Linked DNA regions of Macaca fascicularis. The main gene of each other region encodes a partner of the protein of the gene in region 2 in a complex. Links are inferred from orthologs where the notes say so. Each region holds a gene or a part of one and is shown on either strand. Other genes may lie near its edges.

What was found. The genes of interacting proteins can lie anywhere in the genome.
Region 1: the proteins of ROBO3 (region 2) and NELL1 are in contact, whole or in part, in a crystal structure (PDB 6POL), measured with the Homo sapiens proteins. The link is inferred for Macaca fascicularis from reciprocal best matches to the Homo sapiens genes ROBO3 and NELL1. Residues at the interface, in NP_071765.2 of Homo sapiens: Ser553, Pro555, Val590, Glu592, Phe594, Pro596, Asn600, Thr601, Trp602, Thr604, Ile624, Leu626, Arg630, Gly633, Ala634, Trp635, Gly636, Leu637, Ser638, Glu639, Pro646, Val647, Arg648; in NP_006148.2 of Homo sapiens: Ala440, Lys441, Met442, His443, Tyr444, His446, Tyr458, Arg468, Val469, Asp470, Asp471, Phe472, Ser473, Asp478, Ile492, Cys493, Thr494, Asn495, Thr503, Cys504, Lys505, Pro506.

Annotation. Positions count from the first base shown.
Region 1 is NC_088388.1:45,050,462-45,054,569, forward strand, and holds the start of NELL1 (protein kinase C-binding protein NELL1), read right to left. Parts: upstream 2,803-4,108; 5' UTR 2,666-2,802; coding exon 2,611-2,665; intron 1-2,610. UniProt on the Homo sapiens protein: Plays a role in the control of cell growth and differentiation. Promotes osteoblast cell differentiation and terminal mineralization.
Region 2 is NC_088388.1:123,437,341-123,441,403, reverse strand, and holds the start of ROBO3 (roundabout homolog 3), read right to left. Parts: upstream 2,804-4,063; 5' UTR 2,658-2,803; coding exon 2,498-2,657; intron 1-2,497. UniProt on the Homo sapiens protein: Receptor involved in axon guidance during development. Acts as a multifunctional regulator of pathfinding that simultaneously mediates NELL2 repulsion, inhibits SLIT repulsion, and facilitates Netrin-1/NTN1 attraction.

The DNA.
Region 1 (4,108 bases), about 78 Mb from region 2:
ATATCTGAGCAGCTCACTAAGTGAACCACATGTTTATTTCATCTAGGACTGTTAACAGCCCAGACAACAATTGTCCCACTTGACAAAGAAACTTTCCATGCAGCTGTTTGGATGCTGATAAACTAATCACCAGCCAGCCTTTGTTACCTAAGAGGTGGATGGATGGTGTGGTAATGGTGATTCCTGCACAAAATCAGACGGCTGCCCCCAGAAAGCTACTGCTTATACCCTCTCAAACTACAAGATATTTTAAGTGTACAAATTGAGAGGTAATTCCCCCCGTCTCTCTGATTCTTCTGATAATGTGTGAAGAAATATGTGGCCTCTAGTGTTCAAATAGTGCCAAGGGGCATTGAAAACCCAAGCTCCCTAGGCAACAGTCACAATCAATGGGTCAGATTCTTCCATGCTTCCCTGCCTTTGCTCAATCTGTTCCCTCTGCCAAGAATGCCTTACCACTTTGTCCACCTGGAAAACTCCCTACAAAGCCTTGAAGGCACAACTCTCAAATCCCTGACCACCACTCCTCCCTAGAATTAATTCAAACTGTCCCTCCTCCATATTTCCTTAATACAAACTTATACTCCTACCTCTTCACCACCCCCCATCAATCTGTAAAATTAAAATGCCTGCCAGTTCCTATCTAGATTCTCAGCTAAGCTGTAAGTTCCTAGAAGTCAAGGACTAAGTCATTTCCTCTTTGCATAAGAAATACTGGCACCCAGCAAAACATCGTTTGTTGAATGAATAAATACATGAATGAATTTTTCCCTACAACCAAATTTTTACATGATTTAAAGGGGATTGGAAGTGGAAAGAGGGAAAATACCTGCTCTTAAAGATCCCCTCCACAAGCAATGAACCCTGAAACACCTTGCATTCCGTGATAAGGGTACTTTGGCGACTTTTCAAAGGAATAATGAGAACAAAGGATTTAGGCATATTCCGTAGTGATGTGCACTTAGGGAGGTGAACTGACTAACGGGTTGCCCCCTCCCTCTCAAGCTTCTCCCTGTCTGCGGTTCCTCTGCAAGATGTCCACCAGCACTCTCGCGCTCAGAGCAGGTAGCCCACGCTCTGCACTAGTCTTGCCTGTCCTGATCTTCCTGGGGTGCGCGCACTCCTTCAGCGTTTTCTGGTTTCAAAAGACTAACTCGTTCTGATGGGCCTGAACTCAAGAAGTAACTATTCTAAGCTAGACTGAGCCTTGGCGTCTCCGCAGCCTGGGAAGCTCGGAACTTCCCAGGTAAGGAACGGAATGGGAGGTTTCTTTTGTCCCTGGAGAAATCCATACTCAACACTCTTAACCAGACGAAAGCCGCTGCCTGCTCAGTCCTGGGGAAGTGGGAAGGGTCCTCTGAAAGCTCCTAGACGCTAGATCTTCTGGCGGGCTAATTGCCAAAGAGGGGCGCCTGGGCGCAAGCGGAGGGAACTTTTGAGCCAACTAAAGGCAGACGCCCCCTCAGCCCTCTCCAGGTGAACTTGCTCTTTGGCCTGGAGAGAAGGCCACGCCTATAGAGAAGGAAATACGGTGGTAAAGCGGGGAGAATAAAGGCAGAGGGAATGACCACACAGATTCTAGGGTGCAAAGTCGGCAGCGCGTACGGAGGGATGGCTGGGCAGGATTGCAAACCTCCGACACTCCCCCTAGTTGACAGGCCCTATTTTTGCCAATTTCCTACCACATCTCACCCCACCTCACCTCACCCCAGTCTCCGCGCATCTACTACTAGCTCTTTGAAGAAGGCGGCTGCAAGCCAGTCTCCAAACCCCAGGGGACTTTCGGGCAAGGAAGCCGGTGGAAGCAGAAGGAAGAAGATGCGCTGAGAGTCCTCACAACTGCGTCTCCGGAGGCAGAACGAAGTGGGGACTTCAGACAATCATGCACCATCCTTGCTCCTCCTCCCCACCCCGAACCCTGCGATTATGGCAAGAGAAAACTGGTTTGAGCTTGAGAAAATCTCCTCGGATTGTCTCCACAGGTCTATTTCCCTTAGATAATTGTTCGCCCAACCCTTGGGAGCAAAGCGGGGCGGAGGAGAATACTCCTGGAGTTCTCCTGGGTAGTCAGAAAGGGACAGGAGGAGATCGCAGGATCCCAGGGTTCTCCCGCAGTTCTCTCCCCTCGCCGCACCGCGCCCTCCTGGGCCCCGGCCGCACCCGCCAGCCGGAAGCGCTCCCTCCGCGGGTGCGACTCCCGCAGCCACCCCTTCCCAGCCTGGCGGGGGTCGGCGAGAGCGGTTTCCACAGCACCTTTCAAGTTCGGGAACACGCGGCACGCGGGCCCGCCCTGCTGCGGGTTTCGACTCCCTGGCACAGAAAGCTGGTTACTAGCAGCCCGAGGGTGCGTCCGCTCGGCCGCGCCCCTCACTCCTGCGCCCCAGAGGCCGGGTCCCCTGAGAACAGGCACTCAACGGGGACATCTTCAAGCCCGTGAGTCCCTCTTCTCACCCTGTCACTCCCAGCAGGGCAAAGAGATCCCAGGAACCGATCCACACTACCGCCGTTCCCCAGACCAGCGTAGAGCTCGGCTCCAGGTCTCCCCACGCCACCGTGGGCTATGGGCACCCCCGTTTCCCGGATCCCTCTAACCGCCACCGTCATGCTTACCTGTCCTGGCAGTGCACACACAGAACCACACAACTAAAATCACATCCACCGGCATCGCTCCCGAGGGTCCCCGCCTAGCAGGGCGCACCGAAGCTAGGTGGAAACAAATGAGCCTGGATCCTGAGGCGCGCCTGGCTTGGAGCCGCCAAACTTGCTAGCGGGCGGCGGGGGAGGTGGCTCGGCAGCGCCTGTGCTGCGCTCGGGGATGCGCCCGGGAAGGCAGCCCCGGCCGCCCCGCCCCCAGCCCGCCCCTCTCCACGGGCGGCGGCGGCGGCGTGGGGCTCGGGGCCCGGCCCCCGCTGCAGCTGCGTTCGCCTGGGAGCCGGGGCAGGAGCGAGGGGTTTGGCTACTGTGGCTTGTTGCGCTCCCCACTGGGGGACGATTCCGTTCGCCTTCTTCGCCCCCGGAACTGCGAGGATCTGGACTGCAGGCGCCGCAGCCGCTACCACCCGGAGCACCCAAGTCGGAGTCCCGGGACTCGCGGCCGAAACCAGAAAGCGGGAGGCGCACGGCGCCCCCACGGCTTCACGCGCTCCAGCCCCGCCGAGCCGCCGTCGCCAATGTTGCCGCCTCTGCTTCCGCACCGCGGTGGGGGCTGCAGAAGTTGCCACAGTTCATCCCCGCCGAGTCGAAAAGCCGCTGTGTCCTAGCGGGTGGATATTTTTCCTCCGGGGAACCCAGACCGAGGCGGCGCCACCGAGCGCCCACGGACCCCCTCGGAAAACAATTACTCGGGATTCGCTCTATCAGCTGGGTAGGGAGAGACCTGAGTGAGATGATGGCTGAGTTCCCGCTCACCGCCTGTACCTTCTCTCTCCTCTCTCCTGGTGAACCCCTATGACTGAGTACTCTCTTTGTGGGTGCAGGAAGAGGGCACTGAGGTGGGGGTGCAGAAAAGGGGTCCTCGAGGCAGAGCGAGCTGTGGTTGGGGTTTGGGAAGTCTGTTTGCAAACCTTCTCGTTCTGCAGGGCAGATGCTGCCACATAGGGGTAATACCTAACCATCTTTTTTTTTTTCTTGCGTGATTTTCTTAATGGTATTATCAAAAGCTCACTCTTCTTTCATAGTCACATTTTGGCCCCATTTGCAATTTCTCCGGGACCTCCACCTTCTTTTCCCTCCCCCACCACCACAACATTCTCTGGAGAGAAAAGCTAGGCTTTGTTTTCTACTTGGCAAGAAGAGAATGGGTTCTCTCCCCTCTATGCGACCCTTTCAGGACCTGACGACCTTCCCTGTGAAGATCTCCCAAACTTGAGACTGCTGTCCCACTTCGTATTTGTCCCACTAACACCTAGGAATGTTATTTACAACTGGACATGTAAAGTCATGAAATCTGAAATGACAGCCTCTGATTTACAGCAAATGAACCCCACATAATTTCAAGTTACCCAGCTTGTTCAGTCTTCCCACTCTTTCTGACCCCCCCAACTACTGCCCCTCACCACTAGTACCCCTTTGATATTCACAACAGGGATTCCAGAGGAGTCCAAGGAAA
Region 2 (4,063 bases):
GCTTGTCAACCTGGATTCTATGAGTCGCACAGAGTCCTTCTTACTGACACCCCGGATAATCATGCTTCATTTCAAGTGTCCTGTGAAATCACAGGAATTGAACTCAAAGAGCAGTAGAAATATTAGTAAGTCTCCTTTTCCTGAGAGGTGCATAGTTTCCAATAGATTAGCCTACTGATTGATGTTCCTCTACTTTCCCTGCTCACTCGAATCAGTTCATCCACATATTCTATCCCACCTGTCACTTGGCCTGCAGACTTTGGCCTGTTTCGCCTTCTGCACTAGGGTTTGGGATCCCGGAGCCTGTTATACTCCGGCAGGCTCAGCCTCTAGTCCAGCCAACAAAAGTGGATTTGTAACCCGTGGCGGCCAGTAGGTGCCACTGCAGCCTTGAATAATCTGGTGTAAAATAACCAGGGACCACTTCAAGCATCTGTTCTGCCCGCTGCCCCCTCCCCTCCTACCCTGTTCCAAAATCTGCAGGAACCTCCCGGTTCCAGCCCACGTGTGAGTTGGGTTTCATTTCCGCCCCTCCTCTTAGAAGTTCTGTTGTAGACAAAGCTGGACAGGCTGACCAGTGCTGGGGCTGCCCTGAGAAGTTTATTTTAATTGCCTGTAGTCAAGAAGATCGATTTCTGTCCCACTTGAGAGAATAATTTTCTCCATCTCCCTTCCAATTGGAAATCTCTGCTTTTCACCCGTCTCTTCTCCTCCATCTCCTCCCATTCCCAATTTTGGAACACCCCGTGGTGAGCAACACTGGAGTGACTGAGAGCTCAGGTGTTGGTGTTGAACCAACCAGGGCTGGAATCTCAGACTTTGACCCTTCCTAGCTGTAAGAACTTGGGCAAATTATTTAACTTCTCTGAGTCTTAGTTTCTTTATTTGTGATGTGGGAGTAGTGATAGGGTTGCTCTAAGACCATAATGTATGTAAGGCATTGGGGGATAAATGTTACTACTCTGCCATTATTTAAGGGCTTGTATTCCCAGCATATGCACCTTATCTTGGCTCCTACAGTCTCTACCTGAATCGAATTCTACCAGACCCCAATATTCTTTTTTCCCCTTGGTATAGCCCTCAGGTGTAAAGGAAATAGACTGATCTGTTATGGCTAGGTTTTGCTTCATGCTGCTTTTGTGACGATTAGGGCACCATTCACTCTATAAAGCATTTTCTCAGCGGCAAAATGTGTCTGTCAACACCTTCCTTACATACCTCACTAAGTTTTCGAGCTTAGATGAGACCAAGTATGGTGAAAACACTCTGTAAAAGCGCTAAGTGAGCAGAAGCGGGACTCTGCGGGGTGCCAGCGAGAAGGGGTCTGTGCTTAACCTCCTGGGAATCTAGGAGGGTCAAGAGGTTGGAGAATCGGGCTCATCCCCCATCGTCTTCCTCCCCACTCCTTCCATACGGAACACACCCTTCTGGTCGGTCCTTTCCCCCTAATTCCTGTAGACGCAGCTGCAGGCGCCCTTTCCCTGGAATTTCCCCCTACCCTTCCCGGTCTCAGGAGATGCTTCGACTGCAGCCTAATGAATAGCTAATGGCCATGCTAATGAGGCTCTGGGGCTCCTCCCTCAGCACCTGATGTGTCCTACACATAAACACACACATATTGCCCCGGTCTCCTTTCTCTCCACCTTCGAGTCCCCAGCACAGTGCTCGTCACTAGACTCGAGTGGGTCGAGGCAGAGGGATGGGGACCGCGTGCACCTGGAGGGAACCACACGCGAAAGCGCCCGGGAAAGCCGGGGTTGCCGATGCTGCAGGCAGGGGGCGCGCTCCGGCCTCTCCGAATGCTGGCGGCGGCCGGCTCCCGCAGCTTCCCCGCGGCGCTAGGGGAGAGCGCGCTGTCCCAGTCATTTATTAATCGCCGTAATTAGCGGTAACGACCTCGCAGCCAGCTCCGCCCGCCCGCCACAGCTCTGCCGGGGTGGGCCGGCTGAGAGTCCCGCCGCTGAAAGACAAACTTCTAAGTTTCCTTAAAATGATCGCCGCCCCTGTCCCCTCCGTAGCAAACACATCCAGCATTTTGGCTTCCTCTGGTCCTAAGTGAGTTCTTGGGAAACTTCGGGATTCCGAAGACCAGCTGCCTGGGTGGGTCACCGAGTGACCCGGCTTGGCCGAGGCCGGCGGGAGACCGTGCCCCCTCCTCTGCCCTCCCTGCGCTGGGCCCGGGCCTTTCTTAGCTCGGACTTCCCTGCCCGTCACCAGCCACGGTCTTCTCACCTGGGGTGGGCGTTGTAGGGGAAGGGAAGGAGGTGTAAAAAGACTCAGTAGATATCTTCTCCCAAGCCCTCGACCTCCCGCGGGTACCCCCACTCAGGTGCTCCAAGCTCCAAATTATCCCTTAGCCCCCAAGACCCAGGGAGGCGCTGGGAGGCGCCGCTCAATCCTGGACCTCGGGACAGGAGTGATTCTCCTTCTCTTCCACGCCGCCCTCTCACCTCATCCCCATCCCAGGATCCCATATCCCCAAGAGGCAGGGACTCACCGTTGAGTGAGGGATCGCCGGGAGGCAGCAGGGTGTGGTTGAGCGCCGCCAGCGAGGAGTTGAAGCCCAAGAGTAGCTCGCTGGAGTTGGAGATGTCCCCGGCCAGAGAGTCCGCGAACAAGTTCATCTGCAGCAGCGTTTTCAGCAGGTAGCGCAGCATGGTTCGACCCAGCTGGGATCGGGGCGGGGGGCTCGGGGCCCAGCCCCTGGGTCTGAGACCCGCGGGCCGGGTGCCGTAAGCCCCTCCACAGCCTCTGCGCGCTGCGGCAGCCACGGTGCCGCTCTCCTGCCGGCTCGCCTGGGTACGGTCGGTGCCTCCTCATGCCCTCCTCCTTCCCTCGTCCTTCTCTCCACCCCCCAGTGCCGGAGTCCCCTGGGAGCTGGGCAGGCGGAAAGCAGGTGCCACGCCGATCACGGCGTAATTAAGGGATTAATCCACCTCCCTCCACCCTCCCACCCCTACCCCTACAGTCACTATCCGGGCAGGAGACTAGAGTAGCGTGGCACGCGAGTTGGAGTCCCCGCCCCGCGCCCCAAGTCTAGCGTTCTGTTCTGGACGCAGCGAGAGATTGTCCCTTCTTTCTCAAAGCACCTAAGATGAAGGATGAGGCTCTGTCGAACTCTGCCCTTCTGCCCAACTTTAGAACAGGAGTCTGTCCTCTCTTTTCCCTAACCTTATGGAAACTGAGGCAAAGCGCAAGCAATGCTCCTTGCTGCCAAAGCTCTGACTTCCATTCCCTCTCAAGTCTAGGGATTTGGCGACGGAAGTGCAGGAGACTGGGGTGGTTTGCAGCAAGAGTTGGGAGCAGGAAGAGAACTCCAAGACAGGTCCACCTCTCTGCCCTCTGGTCCTCTGTTCTGCAGCCTGGAGGCCAGGGGATGGTGCGGCGCGCCCTGACCCGGGAGTCCTGCTCCAAACGCCCTAATCTAGGAGTTCCTGTAGGAGACCGAAAGCCAGGCAAACCCAGGCAACTGTCATGTGCTTGAATACTTTTACATTACTCTGCTTTGACATTTTTTGTTAAATTGTTTTACGTTTTTGAGGAGACTGAAATGGAACCAAGGATTCTAGGATAAAAACAAAGATAATATTATTTTTGTAAAGGCATGTGGGATTGATGCAAAATTCGTGCAAATCTGTTCAAATCTGATAACAGTCGTCCTTACTGGGGGGCGAGAAGAAAACCATGCACCCCCCTCTCGCCTCCCACTTCCAGTCGCGGTCTGCTTCTGACTTTTCTGGGGTTCTTTCTACCTGAAGAGCCCCCAGTAGACTGGAGATGGCTTTGGGGTGTCTAGGAAAGAGAGAGGACGGGGCATTCCTAACCTGAGGTAAGGCCCTGCTGATTGAAAAGTCAGTGCCTGAGTTCTGGCTCAGCCATCAGCTCCGGGATGAGACAAACTTCATGGGGCGACTGCTTCTGACCCCAGAGGGATGGGTGCTATACAGTCGCAGACTCGGGAGTAAGCAGAATCAAGAATTGAAGTATTTCAGGCAGAGCTTGTTGAAGGGAACCCGAGACGTTGTCAAGGGGTGGGGGGCTTCTTCCAAGCCTCCTTCATCAG